Coturnix japonica: one gene and its partners. The protein of the gene in region 3 purifies or fractionates together with the protein of the main gene of each other region. This does not show direct contact. Links are inferred from orthologs where the notes say so. Each region holds a gene or a part of one and is shown on either strand. Other genes may lie near its edges. The genes, in order: PRR5L, MLST8, RICTOR and FBXW7.

Region 1 (5,256 bases), on a different chromosome or scaffold from region 3:
AGCTTGCAAGAAGAACAGCAAATTCAGAATAAAAGCCAGAGATGTTATTCTGCCCCTAATGTAAAAGTATGTTGGGACAAACAGTATCAACAAGCCTATTGCTCTCTTGGGTACAAATAACGTCTCTCTCATTAATCAAGTCTGTTCTTTGGTCAGGTTCTCACTGGCAGCTGTTTATCTTTCTAGCAAATATTGAATACAGATTAATCCATTTATTCACTTCTGGAAAACTGTGTGTACTGTGACAATAATGAAAAGATAGTAGTTATAAATACCCAAAAGGTTATTTACAGGAAAAACTCACCCATATGGAAGCCTTCGGTCTGCTGGGAACCACTGAGGCAATCTCCACCAAGGAGTGATCTCCAAGAGATGCTGCCTTAGTGGTGGTCAGCCCTTAAATGAGGTCTAGAGGAGGTGGAGTCAAGCTCCACCCCTTCAGGGGCACAGCTACATTACTCTCACCTGTGCTCCCACAGCTGACCTGACACTTGGCTCAGCTGATTAATCAGAGGTTCAGGCTGTGATTACCAATTTCCCATACACTCCACCCCTTCACTGTGTGAACCAATGATTAGGTGAGTTTTTCCTTATTACAGAGATCCAATGTGATGCTGATACAATTTCCCGTTGCAATAGATGTTGATATAATTTGAGTGATGATTTGATGGGTGTTCGCAGTCTTCCGTGGGCCAGTGCTTGATAGGTGCCATTGGAGACAAGCCATCTTGAGGTGCAAGTCTATCTGCGTTTCATCAGTCCCAAACGAATCATCCTCTGGTGGTCCTAGAGGCTCAGAGACTCAGGGAGAATAGTACAAATGTTTCAAAGGTACTAGGAGGGGAAGGTCTGCATTCCAAGGCATAATACAGGCCGTATTCTTATATTGGGTCAATACTACTGCTTGTACTGGATTATGCCCCGGTTGCCAATACCATACCCTTTGGCCAGATATCTGCAGTTGTGTAACTATATCTGGTACCAAAGGAGGTGTCTTAATTTGCCATACAATCAAAGAAGTTATTCTGATTAAGCACTCGCCAGAAAGCTTTGCTGCAGTCACAGACAGACAAAATCAAAACTCGTTTTCATCTTAATTTTTCCTTACTAAATTAAAGGAAATAGCCCCTGGCTGTTGAACAGTATTTCTCATCATGATAAATCAAAATACTTCATAATTTAAACCAGATTTATTTCCTCCTTTTTACACACAGGTAAAACAGAGGCATGTCAGGGAACCAGACCAAAACAAAACACAGTGATGGAGATCCAGTCAGAATATGCAGTGCTGCAGAGTAGTCTAACATCCTACCCTACCAGCAGCCTTCCTGCTTAGAACTGAAAATACAGTGCCAAAAATCACTGTCTTGCACTGCCCTTATCTCATGCAACATCTAGATCCTAAAACCACAATGCATCTTTTATGCATGGACATTCCCTCTGTGATTTTTAAAACACACGTATTCAAACAAGATTTAAATACTAATAACATGTGTAAGATATTTTTCTCACTGTAATCCAGCTTGAAGAGCACTCACATTCTTGTCTTCATCCATCCCAGCTAGCGTAGTTGCCAAAGCTGACATACAGCGGCTATCCAGTTGATTGAGCTTTTCCTGTTAAAGGAGTTTAACAATGCTACATTACTTCAGACCAGTAACAATTTCTGAAAAGAAAACCTCTTAGTTTGTACCTGTCATCCTGTCTTCCCATCAGAAGTCAGTTCATAAGCTTAAGTCTCCACTGATCTCCACAGTCTCCTACTTCATTTGGAAAGGGTAACAATTTTTCAGACTTCTCTCAGTTACACAAGTGAAATTAGGCAGTGGTTAAAAAAAAATGAAGGAAACTAAATGTGCGTACAGACTAAGGGAGCCCCATTTCCTCTGAACATCAGACTAAACCAGAGATGTAACCCAAGCCTCCCTCCCTGATGTTGTACACCCTCCAAAAACTAACCCCGGTGTTTCAGCCCAAACATCCATGAGGGATTTTGATGCTTACCTGGAACACCCTCAACAAAGTCTGGACTAAGAGAGTGTTCTGAGGAACACGGAGGTTCACCACAGCGTGCAGACTGAACACCAGGTCACCCCGTGTCATCCTTCTGGAGTCCCACAGCAGCTGCTGACAAAGCCTGACAAAGGCCGAGTTCTCAAAGATGAGCTGCTTCTCATAGTGCCGCTGGTCTTCTGATGTTTCTCAGGAGCTTCCAAACGGTAGTTAAACAGTTTGTGAACTGCTTAGTGGAGACAGCAGACTCTGAGGCCAAATCCAGTACATCGCTAGGACAGGCACACTTATAGTCTGTTAAAGAACTGTTCATTTTGATCCAGCACTGCCTTCGCTCTGAAGTTCTGCACGTCGCCCTCCAACCTCTCAAGTTCCAAGGAGCTTTGTGGAGCCTGCTTGCTCACCACAGCCTCTCTACTTTTTTCCTGCTGTACTTCATCACCTGTGCCAAAAACATCTGCCTTTTGAGACAGAAATCGGAGGTGATCCACATAGAGAGAGAAAAGTATTTAGAAACAACTTCCTGCAGTTCACATTCTCCAGGCAATCCCAGTGCCTGCCACTCCATACAACACGCCTGTTTGTAGCAGCCAATGGTCTGGGCACGGGGCTGCACCTACACAAGCACCTGGCAGCATTCAGCAGGTAACCCATCTTATTATTCATCTTTGCCAGCGGCTTGCACATCGGTGTGAAATGCTAACTCAGGATCGGGGATCTGAGCAAACCCTACCATTGGAAAACGGCCTGGAAAAAGAACATAAAATCACTGACGTAAGTCAAGTGGAACTGACACAGGCTCTTAAGTTATACCGCTACGGAAAAACATGGGGAAAAAACCGCAGACGGGAACGGATCTGCAGAAGATTCCATTGGCCTCCCGCACGTTACTCACACGCCGGGTGCCACCTCATCCTCCGACCGCTGCCGCGACCAAAAGGCCGCCCGGCAGAGAAGGAGAGCCATCCTCCCACCTCCAGCCCCGCTCCTTGACAGGGCTCCGGGTCCAAGAGCGGTTACCTCGCTCACCACAGCGCCATGACACCCAGCCGCCCTCCGCCAGCCTCGCGAGAGCTACGGCGAGAGGCGAGGGACAAACCGTGTCGGCGAGTGCCAGCCTGAGGGAAAGCTTGAATGTTGTGATTCTGCTGTTCTTGTCAGTCTTACAGCAGGTTACGGGCATAAAATGAGAGCCATGGGAAACTGTGTTTAGTTGATAGGAAGCTGAAGTTCATCATTTCTTACTGAGCATATCTAGCTGTTCAGCCTGCTGCTCAGTAATTTTTTTCATGTTCTGTACGTGCTTGCGCTGCCACCACGAGCATCTCTGGCATTCAAGGGCTTTGTGTTACAATAGCAGTATAAAATTGAATCTCATGTATTTGTTTACAGTATGGAAAGCATCGTGTTGTTTTGGAGAGACACAAACTAGCTGTGAATAAGCATGAAAATTAATAAGAGTGAAGGGAAATTGTGTTATAGCATTATTTCTGGGTTAATTGGTTTTCTTTCTCAGATTAGTTGCCATAACTTGGTCGTATTCACAAGAGTTCTGGACAGCACAGCAGGGCTGAGTTCCAACAGTCTGCTGAGCATCAAGATTCTCTCAAGTACTACAGTGGTAGGAGCTGATTGTCAGTGACAGTGATATTTGGGAGCCTTATAATATAGAAAAATAAGTTAGCAGGTAGAATAGTCTGTCAACAGTTTATTTCTAGCAAAAATACCATCTGTACTGTGCTGCACCTCTGTCTTTCAGTTTTCATGTTGTCCCTGGATATCCCCTACTGGTCCCCAGTTATTCTCTGTTACCCCCAGTTCAGCCCATCCGTCTGTCCTTTCCTGTGGCCAAACAGGTGGCCGTGTTAAATGGTTCTCAACGCTTACATTGCAGGACCATCACCAAACAACTTTCTTTCAATACATTCTAACAGTGACTAAAGCTGCCACTGCCCTTAATAAACAACAACAATCCTTTCCTATTGAAATACATACAGCATTTTTGACTTACAGTGATGGATATCACGTATTATATAACACAGCCAACCAAAACCCACAAGACAGAGAGAGAACCAAGTTCCAGGGCAGCTGATGCTTTATACAGCTCTCCCTTTGAATAAAGATGTAACATACAACACATGGTTTAATTACTTTATTTTTTAAAAAAATCCTGTCAGAAATATAGCTGTGTATTAATTACAAAATATATTAATCTATTGATACTTTAAAAGGAACAAGAGTACCTTAAATTCTGTTCAAATGGAAACCAATACAAACTTTTAACACTGACCCCAGAATAATCTCTTGCATCTATCATTAAGGTACTTGATGATGAGAGTCTCTCTAGAGAAGAGCAGAAAGGCCACCCTGATTTCTTTCATTAGCGAGTTGAAGCCCTCGCCAGCAAACACAAACAGGCATAACATGAGACCACTTCACAAGGTAGCTCATGCTATCTGAGCTCCCACATATATACATCACATACCAACATTTTCAGTACATTTTTCCCTGCCCTGCAGGGGAAGACATTCAGAGGCAAAAAGAGAACACATCTGCAATATATTACAACTGGAAAATGTGCCATAGCAGCTTTGCAAATACATGTACTAAGAGTCTGACTTGAAGCACATTCAAGATGACAGAAATTCAGAAGACAAAGAAGCTAAGCCCCGTACTGAAACACCTTGAGATCCGATAATGCCACAAAGCATCACGAGTGGCAGAAAGGTAGAGAACCTAATTCCTGAAAGAACTAGACAGGAAACTGACTGAATACTCCTATTTTTGTTTGTTTCAGGTATGACTCTCAAGGCTGCCCGCTATTCTGCTTCCATTTTTAAAGGAGTTCTCAGCCCACCCCACCATAAAGATTTCTTAAAATAGATGATCAAATTCTTAAGGTTGGAAAAAAAAAAAAAAGGCTATTTAATTAAGACTATTTCCATATGGAAACCGAGCACCTTTGTACTAACCTTAGGAAAGTGTGAATAAAGGGTCAGAGTCATGACAAGTACAGTGAGATGGGATCAATCCAGACTCTTCAGTTTTTCCATTGGCTGCAGATGCTGCTCTTATTTGAAAGAGAAAGCACTGGAACTGCAGTTAAAGGTGGGGAAAGAATGAGGGAATGGAACTAATACATAAGTTAATGTTTCATTAACATTTCTCCTTCAGGGCAGAAGTAATTAATATTTAGCACATTAGCTGTCAAAGCTTCGGTAAAACTCTGGCATTATGGTAACT
Region 2 (5,472 bases), on a different chromosome or scaffold from region 3:
GACCCCATGGTGCCACCTTCTCACTCTGGAGGATGCTGCCAGCTCTGACACAGAGCCACAGCAGTTCCCATACAGGTGGCACTGCAGGAACCACTCTGGGACCCACATACACCTGCAGCTCCAAAGCACTTCCTTGGGGAAGCACTGCAGGGGAAGCAGAGCACACCCCATGCACCCATTCCTGCAGTGTGGGTGGGCACATAACCACCAGACCACCCCCCTTCCAGCAGCAGGGCAGATGCAAGCAGCCTCTTCTAGGGTTAAATTCAGCACCGACTGGATTTGGAAACTGAAAAAAACTAAAAACATCAAAAGATCTCGGTTGCTGCTGTTGCAGAGCTGCTCAGCTGACTGCGAGGGTTTTGTTTGTGTTGCCAGAGCGGTGGCACCAGGGGAGAGCTGCTGCGAGCCGCCCAGCGCCGCGGGCTCTGAATTAGCCCTATTCTAGATGCAACCCTAATCCCTGCCGACACCTCCTGCACAGCACAGCGCAGGGCAGCGCTGCACCCGGACCCAGCGTGTCCCGTAGGGCAGCACGGGGCCCTGGCACAGGGCAGAGCAGGGCAGCAACGTGCGGGTGTGTGCTGAGCATCCACGGCCATGGCCGCGGGTTGCGCCCTGTGCTCGTGTGATGCGCCTCGTGTGCGGCGTGGATGCGCTTTGTGATGCTCCTGGTGCCTGCAGGGGACAACGGCGGCCCTTGCTCTGTGCCATCCCATCCCTGCAGCATTTCCATCCCGCCCGGCGATGGATGTGTCAGCCCTCGTGGGAGGAGCTGTGCGGGTGCGGGAGGGTATGGGGCTCTGAGAGCGGTATGGGGAGCTCAGCACCCCCTGGCCGCAGGAAGGCCGTTCATAGACAGAGCGCTAATTGCACTGCCATGGCAACACAGCGCCTGATCAGAGCGGGGATAAATATTTGGACAGACGCTGTCAGCTCGCCAAGACCGGGCGTTTTTAATATCCGTTATCTAACTCGAATAGAGCGCAGGTTGCCCGGATCAGACCCTGCCGGTGCCGGGCTGCAGCACCGATGGCAGCAGCGGCTCCCTCCCATGGCTGAGCGCATCTCGGGGCCGTGTCCCGCTCCCCCGCAGCGCCCGGCCCCGTTCCCCTCTTACCTCCCGGAGCCGCTCAGCGCAATGCCCGGCCGTCCCGCCGCCGTTGCCATGCGGAGCCCACGCTGCCGCAGCGCGGCGGTGCGTGCGGGGGCGGCCGCGTGGAGCCCAGCCCACACCCCCGCTCCCGGAGCATCCCCGCGATTCAGCCCCGGTACCGCCGCGCCCGGTCGGTCCCGCTCCCCCGGGACAGGGACGCACCGGCCGCCCCAGGGAACGGCTGCGCCTCCCGGTGCGGTACCGCATGGCGGCCCCGGTACTAAAGGACAGCCCCAGCCCCCGGAGCGCCCCTTACCGGCAGGTGCGGTACCGGGCGGGCACCCCCCGGGCGCGGGTACGAGCACTGCCCCACGGCCGCCACCGCCGCTCTTAAAGGGCCCGACAGCAGCGCTGCACCGGCACGGCGGGACTCTGCTGCGAGCTGGCTCAGTGCCCTGCCGGCCCTGGGACGTGTGTGCCCTATTTGTGCCCTATTTGTGCCCTATTTGTGCCCTATTTGTGCCCCGTGTGCCCGCACCCCGTGTCCCGGTACCCGCACCCCACACCCCCATCAATCCCCAGCCCCCTGCCCCGCTCCGCTCGGTGCGGCCGTTCCCATCACAGCGCCCCCTGGCGGCGATGTCGGGATGTGACTCACTCAGCGCTGACAGCGCCCCGCAGTCCCGCCTCACCGCCGCTGCTCTCTGCGCATGCTCCTTTGACATCACCGACCCGCTTGCGCAGAGCCCGTACCGGCTCCGCGGTGCCGCCGCCATGAACGCGGCTCAGGGCACGGTGGGCAGCGACCCCGTTATCTTGGCCACGGCCGGGTACGACCACACGGTGCGATTCTGGCAGGCGCACAGCGGCATCTGCACCCGCACCGTGCAGCACCAGGACTCCGTATCCTGCACCGGGACCGGCGTGAGGGGGGAGGCCCCGGTGTAACGGGGGGGGGGGGTCCCAGCTTAAGGGGGGGGCCCGGTGTAGGTGGTGGGGTCTCGGTGTGGTCTCGGTGTCATACAGCCCTTAGCACTGCTGGCAGCAGGTGAACGCCCTGGAGATCACTCCTGACCGCAGCATGATCGCAGCCGCAGGTGAGCCCCGGGGTGTTTGGGGTCGCTGGGTGCCCCTGGTATTTCTGAGCTCCATTCGCTGCCATAGGGTATCAACACATCCGTATGTACGACCTCAACTCCAACAACCCCAACCCCGTCATCAATTACGATGGTGTGAGCAAGAACATCACGTCCGTGGGCTTCCACGAGGATGGGCGCTGGATGTATACGGGTGGGGAGGACTGCATGGCACGGATATGGGACCTCAGGTGAGCGCGGGGTCTGCTGCAGGGAGAACATTCCTCCGCAGGCTCGTGTGGGCTCATTCGGTCTCTTTTTTGTTGCAGGTCTCGTAACCTGCAGTGCCAGCGGATCTTCCAAGTCAATGCTCCCATTAACTGTGTCTGCCTGCACCCCAACCAGGTACACTGATTGTCACTGGCCTTCCTGGAAAAGGTGATGCTCCCTCAAATGCTTGGCAGTCTGGAGCATTGCTCAGCCCATGGTCTTGGTTGCATGGACCCCTCGGCTCTTGGTGGCTTTGCAGCTGCACGTCCATGTATTCCCTTGCAGAGCAGCTGCTGCATGACCAGGCTTGGTGCAGGCAGAGTGTGGCCCTGCCCCTGCCTTTGCTGCTTCTTGTCAGGGAACAAACATCCTCAAGCAGGGCTGGCAGCCAGCAGATGTCTCTGGCTTCTGTCTTGCTCATACTGCACCTGCAGCAAGCATCAGCATCCATGCTGGAACCATCAGGTTTTTGCTGAGCATCTTTGTGCTAGTTACCTGCTGGCTGTTGGACACAAGCAGTGCTACCAGTAGAAAAAAGCAGAGGCCAACAGCCCCAGTAAGGTCTGTGGTGTCTTCAGGGTTTGCTGGAGATCCACCACTCAGTTCAAAAGCTGTCAGAGAGGTCACTTGGGTTAAAGAAATGGAGCTAATGGGGATGATGGGGATGCATTAGTGGGCATGGTGGTGAAATCGATGCGTATCATTGCAGTGTTAATAACGCATCTGATCCATTCTTTATCCATGGTGCTGCAGGGTGGGAGCTGCAGACAAAGCAGCATAAGGTTGGTTTTTTCTCAAAGCAAATCTTTTAAAAAATATGAATAATAGAAATGTTTCTTTGCTTTTGATTTCTGTAAAAACTCAGTATTACAAATACTGAGTTCTGGACTAAATGTGAGATTGGTCATTTGGAACTGACTTCAGCCAAATGTTGCTGCTGCTGCACCATGAGACTCAGAATGTGTTGCATTAAAACAAATACTGTGCATAAATCATGTGTGTGAGATAATCACTTTGTGTTACTGTAGAAGCAATGGCTTGTGAGCAGGACAGTTAGTTAGCCCAGAGGTGGCAGTATTTAATCAGATAGATCCACAGTATGGACAGGGTGAAGCTGCTTATTCTCAGAGAGGGATTTCTCATGGCCTGGGTAAAGCCACGGCTGTGTTAGAATTGTATTTGCAGATGCTGCTAAGAGTGGGCTAGGAGGTGTCCAGGAGATGCCTCTGCACTACACAGTCAGCTAAATATATCAAGGGATGATTGTCTTCTCCTGAAGCAAGCCGTGGGTCACAGGTACAGGATTAGCTGCATCTGATGACCTGATCTCCTCTAGGGATTCTGCTAAAATTATGGACAGTGTAAGTCTGTCGATAAAAAGCCGTGGTTTTAATGGAGTGCTGCCAGCATTGTCTGCTGCTTTGAGCAGCAGGGATTGGAGCCAGAGCTGCTGCCCTTCAGCTGGCTCCTGTCCTTACCCTCCTGGAGCAGGAGAGACAGAGAAAAACCCACTTAGGCTTGTGTTCTTCAGGTACCTGTCACTATTTTCTTGCAGGCTGAGCTAATTGTGGGTGACCAGAGCGGGGCCATTCACATCTGGGACCTGAAAACAGACCACAATGAGCAGCTGATTCCAGAGCCTGAAGTCTCCGTGAACTCTGTGCACATTGACCCTGATGCCAGCTACATGGCAGCTGTCAACAGCTCGGTGAGCTTGGGCATGAGATGGGATTTGCAGTGCTGGGTTGTCCTTGTGGGGCAAAAGCAGCCAGTTTCTATGCACTATAGAGTTTTGCTGTGCTATGATGGGACACAGAGTCTAGGCTGCTTTTGGCTGAGGTCCACAGAGCCAGTCATAGACGTCCCATCTCCTTGCAGGGAAACTGCTACGTGTGGAACCTGACGGGTGGCATTGGAGAGGAGGTAACCCAGCTGATCCCCAAGACCAAGATCCCAGCACACAACCGTTATGCCCTGCAATGCAAGTTCAGCCCTGACTCCACGTGAGTGTGCTCCTCCACCAGATCAGTTCAGCTTGAATCTTGTAAGGCAGATGATATGGGGTAAAGAAATCTGATTACTAAATACGCAGGGCTTCAGTTCATTATTGTGCCAGGCCTGCATTAATGAGGCCTTTACATGTACAGCATAACTAATAAGATTACCTATGCGTGTGTTATCCTTGCAGGCTCTTGGCTACCTGTTCTGCAGATCAGACATGTAAGATCTGGAGGACTTCAAACTTCTCTCTGATGACAGAGCTGAGCATTAAGAGCAATAACCCAGGGGAAACCTCTCGTGGCTGGATGTGGGACTGTGCCTTCTCTGGAGACTCGCAGTACATTGTCACAGGTGAGACCCTGTTTGCCTGCCTGTCTGCAGGCTGGTGGGGCAGTGCTGGGTGCTGACACAGGACCTAGCATGTTATCTTGGTGGAACATTGCTAAACCCATGTATGTAAGGGAAGAAAACTCTGTTAGAGCACCCAGCCTCACGCCCACTGCACTGCATGAAATCCCTTCAGCTTTCAGCCTGTGCTATAATAAGAGGCAGCAGATGCTCTGTTAAAACTGGAGAGATGATCCACTTGTGCAGTTTGTTTCACCTGGTAGAAATGCTGCTTGCAATGCTTGCAGCCCAGTTGTCCTTTCAAAACATGTTATAATTTCCACAGTAACTTGTCTCTGAACTACTGAAGATCCCAGTACAGAAATGCCAGGTTCCTTCCTCTGCACAGCTCCCTTGCTTCTCATATCAGCACTTAACTGTTGACTGAAGCAAGAAGACAACTTTTTTTCTACTTAAAAAACAAAAGAGAAGCTTGAAATGTAACACAGTATCTCTCCCTCCTCTTCTCTCATTCTGTTCCAGCCTCTTCAGATAACCTGGCCAGACTGTGGTGTGTGGAGACTGGAGAGATCAAGAGGGAATACAGCGGGCACCAAAAAGCAGTTGTCTGCCTTGCTTTCAATGACAGCGTGTTGGGATAATGGTCGCATTGGAACAGCAGGACCTCTGCTTGTTTTCTCC
Region 3 (4,681 bases):
ATGTCTAGGCAAGAAAAAACACATAAAAGTTCTCTTCTTTAAACACAGGGAGGCAGGAGGTGTGAAACAAGGTGTCTTCCGTTTCTCTGTGTTATTCAGAGGCTATCAAGAGCTGCATGGGAAGACCAACTCAGGAGTTGCATGAATGAATATTAGGAAGTGCTGCAGCTGAATGTGCAAAAGTTTTATCTACCCAGACTGTGAAACAGAAAGCTAAGCATCCTGCCACTGCTGCCATTACACCAAAGCTCAAACAAGTAGCAACTTTATTGCTAAACACAGTAAGAGATAAGTGAATTTGCAAGATTCTAGCTTAAAAATACATCTTACTGAGGCAAGGTGGAGAAACAGTGAGAGCTGGAGATGATTCAATTCATGCTTTCTTTCAATATACGAATTGTTACGAGGTAAAAATAACTTATTATTTTGATGGAAAGTAGATGTTCCAAGTTCTGAACAAATTCCAATCTTTACAAAAAAGTAACTATTGTAAATGAATAACTAATTATACTTAATCTCAGAAAGAAACCTTACTTACCATATGCAGAAGTTCTCCCAAAAGAATAGTTGCCCTAACAGATACGTGGTCATCACTACTTGTGATCACTTCTACAAGACCCTGGAAAAAAGTTAAAAATTACAATATTTACTAAAGTAAAGTGTGTATGTTGTATCTTAGATCAATGTTCATAAAAGAAAGGTAGTAAGCATCTATTCTTATCTAATATCACCAGTTACCTCTAGAAGTCCATTGGTAATAAAAGCTGAAAGCACTAAAGCCAAGTAATTATCCATGAGATCAGGCCTAAGGAGCAAAACATGGAAATAGTTTAGAAAAAACTTTTTAAAAAAATTATTTCTGCAAGAGAAAAGCGATTCTTTTGTGTACAACTAATCAACAGCTCAGTCTGAGTTTATTGAATACCAACCTTGACCTGGCTCTATGTGGTAATATGGTTTTAGCTTCAGCAGCTACAAAGCCATCAGAGAGTCTCCAGCAGTCCTGAAATCTGCTTGGATCTACAAGAAAACAAACAAAACCAATGTTAATTACAGTTCTGTATTTCAGTGTTATTTTAATAGTAGTTAGATAAGCAGGTTTGAAATTAAAGAAAACTTTTGGTCAAAAAGGATCTACAATAAGTCATCCAATCCACACTACTACATGAAGTAAGGTCAACTTCAAAGCTAAGACAAATATTTAATTTAAATATCAAAATAATGTCTTCCTGCATTCACAAACACATGAAATTTGTCCAGCTGAAAGCACTGCAACATTTTTAAATTCGCATGCAAACTGAGCAAAGTCACAAGTTTTAAAAAAAAACTATTAATAGTGAATTTCAGTACAATGATTAAGGTTCTATAATCAGGCCCTTGACTGACATTCGTAATTGGAGTTTGGAGGATGATGGAACATCAGAATTACTCTCTTCAGGCTCATACTTTTGTAAGAGAAAAGTAGAGAACACTTTTAAAACTTGCAAATAAATAATTCTGAACTTAAAAGAGTAACTTCTCTTACTATAGACATGAAACCATACAATTACCCTAGGACAAGTTTACTGAAGAGCATTGAGGGCAATTAGCATATATTCAGTATGCAGAGATACTTTTCAGTAACTTATCTGTGTCATTCGCCACCACTCCTACACTACCAGTGCTTCAAATACTTCCAAGACTAATAATTTGTATTGTGCAGTCTTTTGTGCAAATGCTCAATTACGCTCCATTACTGATCTTCTTACAGACTTTCAATTGACACATTAAGAACTTCGGACAAAAGTGGACTTGTGTTGAACACTGAACACTGTTAATTTGCTGAAAAAGGATTTTAAACAGGACTTCAGAATACCTCATGAATTTGCTGATGAAAAGGTTAACACTAATATAATTTGCAATCCAGTGGAAAAATAAAGGGTTCACCAAATTTGTAGAAGAATTTGACAGAATTCTTGTGTGGACTGGTTCGAAATACTTACCTACACTAAGAAGTGCCTCAATAAATTCTTCTGCAACAACAGGGAGAGGAAGACGAAAAATGTCATAGAGAACCTCAAGCAGACCCCGCTGCAAAAACAAAAAACCCAGCAACTTCATATATTTAGAAAATATGGCCTTTCTGTTCACAATTAAATTAGCACTGAGGTTGACTTTTACAGTGTGCTAAAACTGGTATCTGATTTGGAGGTTTTTTATTTGTTTGGTTTTTTTGTTTGTTTGTTTGTTTTGTTTTGTTTTTTTTTTTATTACAAGCACGTTTTCTGAAGGAATCTGGAGAAAAAGGGAAGTGGATTGCTCACTTTACAATAGTGCCTTATTATCACCATAACCTAAAGAAACAAGCTCCTCAGACTACATATATATTTTTTAGAATTGTTACGGCTGTGACTGGCAGTTTCTTTGTTTAGGCAATAACCTGGAAGGAAATGCTTCTATATGCGTCAAATCCTATGTTTTAATCTCATTATTAAAGCTACAAAAGATTTGCTTTGAATTATTGTTAAAGCAAAAAATGATTTTTGTGTGCCCCAGTGGTGCAGGTGGTAGGAATGCTGCATTGCAACACCGGGGCCCGGGTGTTTGAATCCCCTGTGGCGCAAGTGGTAGAAGTGCCGCTCTGCAGCACAGAGGCTCGTATCCTGGGGGTTGGACTCAATGATCTCTAAGGTCCCTTCCAACCCGCACGAGACTATTACTATTACTATTTACTTGCAAACTACTGAAATAATTTGAATTCATGAAAATGATGGACCTTCTCTTAATGCCTGTTCTGTCTGTAGTAATTTAATATTAGCAGTACTATATAAAGTATGAATAAGAACTAAACTTAAAACCAAGATCAGTGGTTGAAAGCATATTTTTCTTGATAGCAGCAATTTCACAGTATATTAGCATATTTCTAAAATATGTTTTAATTCAGAGTAATTTCAAGACTTATATATATTCAAAAAAAAAAAAAAAAAGAAAGAAACTAAAAGTAAATAAACCAAAAGAAAATAAGATTATAGATTGTAAGAGTAAATCAGTTTCAATGCCAAAAATATTCCTGTTTATACAAATATTTTATTTACTGTCTCCTCACATCTAACACTTTTTCCCTTTTCCCTCCTCCATTCCCTCCTGTTAGACAGAGTGAGCTTTGATTCACACTTCACTGACACTGAAAGAGCAGGCAGCCTGACCACATGGAAAAATGACACAGGAAATTTAAGGGTCAAGTAAACTGAAGACTAGTGGTCTCATAATTAGATTCTGGGTTAGACCACTAAATTGTTAAAAAAAATTGCAAGCATATTAAATAAAACATCACATATATTCCTATTCCAATAGGAAATATTTAACACTTACCCGTATTTCCATATTTGGTATACAAAGTACCCCAATGAGAGACTGAATCCCAGAATTCCCAGGTTTGCACAGACTAATAATGCCTAGAAAACATTAATACACAATGTTACCTCACCAAACAAAGGAGATATTAGACACTGTTAAATGATTTCTAGTTCAAACACAAGTATAAATGACAAAAATTACTTATCACTAGCATTTTTATGTCATCTTTTAATCAATGTTCAACAAAATCTAGTAATTTCATAACTAAGAGATAGTTATTTTTGTCCTTTCTAATGTGAACAGTATGTTCAAGTTATCTCCACAAAAACAATATTCACAAAGGAATAGCATGTAGACAAAATCATAAACAAAGAATCAGTCTTAGACCAGAAGATGTACACAGAGCCATTAGCAGTTTCTTCAACAAAAGTTGTGTCTAAGCCTAACCAGTAGTCAGGTTCCTTTTAATCTCAGATGAATTCTAAGCAGCAAGATTAAATATATCTAGAATAACATTCTCTATGCATTGCTTTTAATCACCTTATCCCAAATCAGAAGGGCTCACCTTTTCAAAACAATTTTATTTTGCATAAAATTTGACGGCCTCTCATATTTGGTCCTTTTACACAGAATTTTTAGACAACTTTCATTTCTTAACATTAAAAGGAAGAACTCTTAAACTGTTCTTAATTGTCACTGAATACCACCTGAAGCTAACCATTACTTTGTTTTCAGCCTCAGTTTATACTTAAATCTCTTCATTCAAGATGTAGCTCCTGAAACAGACAGACTTACTATTTTTCTTCACGTTACAGAAGGAAAAAAACCTTACAGTAACACACTATTCTAAAAACAAATAAGTTTATTCAATAAATAACATTTTTTATTCATTTAAGGGAGGCGGTTCTTAGTACATATAAACAAATCTTAATTCAGGGAAGTACTAAAAAATGAAACGTAATAACTACTTAAACCATATTACTAAAAACAATTAGTTAACTTCTATGACATACTTTATGTGAACTGATATCCTCAAGTTCAAAACTTCCACATCACAAATACATATGTCCAGCTCATGTACCCATGAACACACTGAGAGCATTTAATAGATTCCACAGTGAACCTCAGAGACATTTTTCTCCCCCCCACCCTGAGAGTATTCAACAGTCACTTTCCCATTGCAATGCAGGAATAGATTTCCCTGCACACAGTCACTGCTGCATGCCCCAATTTCATCTGTAACACAATGACTGCAGCAGAGGATAAAGTACTTCATATCAAACTCTAAAGAATAACTCAGTCTAGACAGTTATGAAAGAATGGAACAACACTGACAGCACAGACA
Region 4 (4,681 bases), on a different chromosome or scaffold from region 3:
GATGCAAAATTCTAGTCAAAGTCTTAGCAATGCCTGCTGTAATGGAGAAGTTACTTTATGTATATTGTGTAGCATATCCCTATTTTGGATACCAGAGTGTGTGTTTTTTTAGTGTATTTTCACTGGAACTGCAATGTATTCCAGTCAGCAGGCTGCACGTGCCAGTTGCTCTCTAAATCTTCTGAACCAAAGTGTCACTCAGCCATGACTGCAGGTAGAGATCTGAGGTGTTCTAAGATGCAAGAGGTTTTACAAAAAGAAGCAGTCGGATAGCCGGGTTCTTTCTTCTCTTGTTACTAGATACCAGCAAGCCCACATGGACAAGTAGTGCTAGTTTGCTCTGGCTATCCCAGGCTGCAGTTTTACCCTTATGTATTCTTGGCCAAGCTCAGATCTTCATAACTCTCTCTTTTACATGCTTCACTTTGCGTCAGGTTCTACCATTTGGAATGTCCCACTAATCCTAATGAAAATACTAAGTGCGAGACACCCAGAGCTCTTACTGATATGTCTAAATTGTCTGTGAACTACATTGTGAACTGAACTGATAGTGTCCCTGCACCAAGTATTATTTGTTAGTTTATTCTGCAAATTAAAGTTATGCTGACCAATCCACAATTCTCCAGTCTCCCATCCTTGAATAAAGAGAGAAATGGTACCTGCCATCTGAAGCCTTGTCTGTCTTCCATGACATCTCAAAATAGCATCAGATGTCTCTAGGATTGTCTTCAAACAACTTTGCTGTACGTGTGCATTTTCTCCATTCTAGTGGAAGTTCGTATCAGTTGTCACTGGTGTTAGCCTACACTCAGATGGCTGAGGACTGAAGCAAAAAGAAAACTTAAATAGCCTTAAATAGCCTCATCTGGTGTTTCTTTCTCTTCTCAATCAGCTTAAACAAGCTTCTAAAAAATCTTTTCTCCTTCCTTCCTTTTTTTTTTTTTTTTTTTTTTTTAATTAATTAACCAAAATGGCCTTTTTACCATCTGTGACAGCTCTTGTTAGTTCCGTCTTGTTTTGCGCTCTGCTTTTCTGATTTTGTCCCAGCGTACTCCTTTGTACACTTCTGTTGATCTCATTTCTTCTTTTATACAATTCCCTATACTTCAACCAAGTAGGTCTTGGTAATTTACTGCATTTCCTATCTTTCCCTCAAACAAGGATAGTTTGTTTCTCTAAGAAGGTGCCAGCTCTCCTGAACTCTTCTTCTCCTTAGAGATGCATAAAAACCTCATGGGAAGGAAGTCTCAGTTTATTAAGTATTCCTCCTTGAAGCCCTCTGTTTTTATTCTTCCACTCTTTTTCCTTCCTTTTGTGGGAACCCTGACTCATGGCGTCATCGCTCTCACTCAGGTTACTTTTCATCTCCATATCCTCTACATGTTTCATCTCTTGGTCAGAAGTATCCAATCTCTTCGCTGATTTCTCTGTGTGTTCATCTTCTACATATTTTTACTTTGTATCTTGGTACATGCCCAGAAAATCCAGAATCTGAACATCTGAGTCAGCATATCTACTTTTCCCAGCAGTGAGTAGGAAGTTAAAAAGTTCCTTGTTGCACATGATTACGCCGACAAAATGTTTGACCCAGCATTTTTCAATTTCTTTCCTTCTATTTTCCTGTATTGTTTTTATGTCTGTTATTTCTTTTCTCCAGCTTAAAGTCCCTCTGACTTGTGGAAAAGCAGGTTTGGCTGTTAACTTATTTATTAGGACAACAACAGCCTCTTAGTGCTGTATGCTGCAGCAGACAGGATTCTGTTCTTTTTAAGAGTTGTATTTTATTTGAAAGACCAGTGGTCCAGTGCCCTCCTCTTCAGGCTGAGTACCCCATAGGTTGTGTTCACAACTGGAAATGACACTGCCATGAATCACCAGCTCCTGTATCAAGCACAGCCATATATCTATGAAGACTGAAATGCAATTTCCAAATATATTACACATACCTAATGTTAACTTTAGTGAATTAAATGCTTAATAGCCCCGCCTTCATAGAGAGCATTGTAAGATCCTAATATAATCGTTTATAACAGATTTACCTTTCTTGTAGTTCGATGGTATCCATGTGGTGAGTGGATCTCTTGACACGTCCATCCGAGTTTGGGATGTGGAGACCGGAAACTGCATTCACACACTCACAGGCCACCAGTCTTTGACAAGTGGAATGGAACTTAAGGACAATATACTTGTGTCTGGGAACGCTGATTCTACAGTCAAAATCTGGGACATTAAAACAGGACAATGTTTACAGACATTGCAAGGTGAGCTTAAACTACCATGATAGAAATCAAGCTGCCTGCAGTAATCTGTGCTGCAGATCCTATATAAAACCTTCTAACCATTTCATACAAAGAAACAATCGTGGACCATTTACAACTTAAATATCATTTTTCTGATGACAGCTGTATGATCTTCCTCTGAATTAGAGGAATTTCATCTAATCTATTCAAATCACTTGCCTATTATGAAAGGCAGATGGCCTGAACCGAGAGAAATTTGCAATGAGTGTATTAGCCTAATAAGCCACAGAAATATGTAGGAAATGACATCTCAAAACAGCCAGTCAACGTTTTATTTAGGGGTCACTTGGATGTTTCAGAGCCTACTGATTAATTGGATTGGGAGGCAAAAGCACACTGTCTATTGCAATAAATCAAAAGAAAAGATTGGAAGAGAGTGGAAGATGTTTTCACTTTCTCAGTGAGAAGAAAGATTTTGGTTTCCATTTTTACAGTTGCCACTGACGCATCATGCACACCAGCATGTTATTTTGTTCCCTCTTCAGAAAAAGTCATTTATCATATCCAGCAATGCTGGCTGCAGCAGAAAGTTAAACTTCACTGGAAAAGCAGGCTGCTGTTTTAACAGTTTATATGTATCTGTATGTCCCTCAGTACTTACTGGTAGAGTAATCCCATAATAACACTTCAAAGGGACTTGGAGAAAAACATGCATTGTGGTCACCTCATTTCTGCATGGCTAAGTTCATTCTCATGAATTTCCAAGTATGCACTTGTCCTGCTGTGCGTATGCAACAAAACAAGATCACTGTAACAAAGAAGTATTTTGGGGGAATTTCACGCTTTGAAAACAGAAGGCAAGGTTCTGTACCTTTTAAAGCACAAAAACAGGGATAACACATCTAAGAGAAACAGCTGTGCTCAAGTGGATGGGTATTTACATTATATACAGCGCTGTCTGTCACTGCTTTCCCGTTAGAAACAAAAATGTTCTGGTTTGCTCTTCTAGGTCCCAACAAGCATCAGAGCGCTGTGACCTGTTTACAGTTCAACAAGAACTTTGTAATTACCAGCTCAGATGATGGGACTGTAAAACTTTGGGACTTGAAAACGGGTGAATTTATCCGAAATCTAGTTACATTGGAGAGCGGGGGAAGCGGAGGCGTCGTGTGGCGGATCAGAGCTTCCAACACAAAGCTGGTGTGTGCCGTTGGGAGCCGGAACGGGACTGAGGAAACAAAGCTGCTGGTGTTGGACTTTGACGTGGATATGAAGTGAAGGGCAGAAAGATGAATTTGTCCAAACGTGTAGGCGATGTTCTCCTTTCCCTCGCCCTGAGAAAAAAAAATAAAAGAAGAAAAAAAAAAAAAAAAAAAAAAAAAAAAAAAAAAAAAAAAAAAAAAAAAAAAAAAAGAAAAAGGAAAAAAAAAATCCCTTGTCCTTGGTGGTGCAGGATGTTGGCTTGGGGCAACAGATCCTAAAGACCTACAGACTACGAAGGAGAAGACAACGATAACAAACTCTAACTGACAAGAGAGGCATTCGCTGTCTCGTCACATAAAATGGCAACACCTTCGACCGGGGCAGCTTTGCAAAACTTCTGAAATGAAACCAGGTGCAATTCTTTCTTTACTTTCCTCCGACCCCTTCAACAGGTTGGAGAAAAAAAAAAAAAAAGAAAAAAAAGTTACAGTTCTTGTTACCAGGTTATTTTACTATGGAGATCCGTAAGGAAGCTGCACACACATGCCTGCTGGTACCCCCTGGCCCCTCAGCAAGGCGCTCTCCTGGCCCCGCTCTGAGCAGGGCTCCTCCCAGCCTCCACGAGCGGCCGCCAACTTGAAAAACCAGAGAGTGCCCGCAGTGAAACCAACTGCGGAACAAGGAGAGTCCATTCCTGGTGTGGAAAAGCTAAAATAGTACTGTGAATTGTTTTGTGCAGTTTTATCGGAGCTTTCTCTTTTTCTTTTTTTTTCTTTTTTTTTTTCCTTCCTTTTTTTGTTTTTCCTTTTGCCAACCATTGCCAACGTCAATCACAGTATTAGCCTCTGTTTAATCTACTTACCGTTGCTTCCATCTACACTCTTCAATGCATAAGTTGCTCTGAGGTGGCAAGTTGTCCTGGGTTCTGAGAGTCCTCTGATGGATTTAATTCGCAACGCTGGTGCTAGAAGTAGGTCTTCAATTATGGGATTGTGTTCCCACCCCTGTACTGTATTCCCAGTGGCCAAACTTATTTATGCTGCTAAATGAAAAGAAAGAAAAAAGCAAATTATTTTTTTTTATTTTGTTTTTCCTGCTGTGACGTTTTAGTCCCAGACTGAATTCCAAATTTGCTCTAGTTTGGTTACAGAAAAAGACTTTTTGCCACTGAAACTTGAGCCAACTGTGCCTCTAAGAGGCTGAGAGTGGAAGAGTTTCAGACAATTAAAGAGTGAAGT

The links.
Region 1: the proteins of RICTOR (region 3) and PRR5L purify together in Homo sapiens (affinity purification with western blotting; 3 studies listed by BioGRID and IntAct, with this or other methods). This does not show direct contact. The link is inferred for Coturnix japonica from reciprocal best matches to the Homo sapiens genes RICTOR and PRR5L.
Region 2: the proteins of RICTOR (region 3) and MLST8 purify together in Homo sapiens (affinity purification with western blotting; 14 studies listed by BioGRID and IntAct, with this or other methods). This does not show direct contact. The link is inferred for Coturnix japonica from reciprocal best matches to the Homo sapiens genes RICTOR and MLST8.
Region 4: the proteins of RICTOR (region 3) and FBXW7 purify together in Homo sapiens (affinity purification with western blotting; 3 studies listed by BioGRID, with this or other methods). This does not show direct contact. The link is inferred for Coturnix japonica from reciprocal best matches to the Homo sapiens genes RICTOR and FBXW7.

What each region holds. Positions count from the first base shown.
Region 1 is NC_029520.1:17,281,541-17,286,796, forward strand, and holds the start of PRR5L (proline-rich protein 5-like), read right to left. Parts: upstream 3,272-5,256; 5' UTR 2,005-3,271; intron 1,617-2,004; 5' UTR 1,539-1,616; intron 345-1,538; exon of another isoform or gene 1-344. UniProt on the Homo sapiens protein: Associates with the mTORC2 complex that regulates cellular processes including survival and organization of the cytoskeleton.
Region 2 is NC_029529.1:6,429,363-6,434,834, forward strand, and holds the start of MLST8 (target of rapamycin complex subunit LST8), read left to right. Parts: upstream 1-1,870; coding exon 1,871-1,999; intron 2,000-2,141; coding exon 2,142-2,193; intron 2,194-2,260; coding exon 2,261-2,423; intron 2,424-2,501; coding exon 2,502-2,577; intron 2,578-3,997; coding exon 3,998-4,150; intron 4,151-4,320; coding exon 4,321-4,445; intron 4,446-4,630; coding exon 4,631-4,794; intron 4,795-5,313; coding exon 5,314-5,432; 3' UTR 5,433-5,472. Other genes in the region: hexosaminidase D-like, read right to left, coding at 1,755-1,872.
Region 3 is NC_029547.1:11,178,070-11,182,750, forward strand, and holds part of RICTOR (rapamycin-insensitive companion of mTOR), read right to left. Parts: intron 3,435-4,681; coding exon 3,352-3,434; intron 2,071-3,351; coding exon 1,983-2,070; intron 1,021-1,982; coding exon 930-1,020; intron 806-929; coding exon 739-805; intron 620-738; coding exon 539-619; intron 1-538. UniProt on the Homo sapiens protein: Component of the mechanistic target of rapamycin complex 2 (mTORC2), which transduces signals from growth factors to pathways involved in proliferation, cytoskeletal organization, lipogenesis and anabolic output.
Region 4 is NC_029519.1:29,729,797-29,734,477, reverse strand, and holds part of FBXW7 (F-box/WD repeat-containing protein 7), read left to right. Parts: intron 1-2,050; coding exon 2,051-2,261; intron 2,262-3,249; coding exon 3,250-3,518; 3' UTR 3,519-4,681. UniProt on the Homo sapiens protein: Substrate recognition component of a SCF (SKP1-CUL1-F-box protein) E3 ubiquitin-protein ligase complex which mediates the ubiquitination and subsequent proteasomal degradation of target proteins.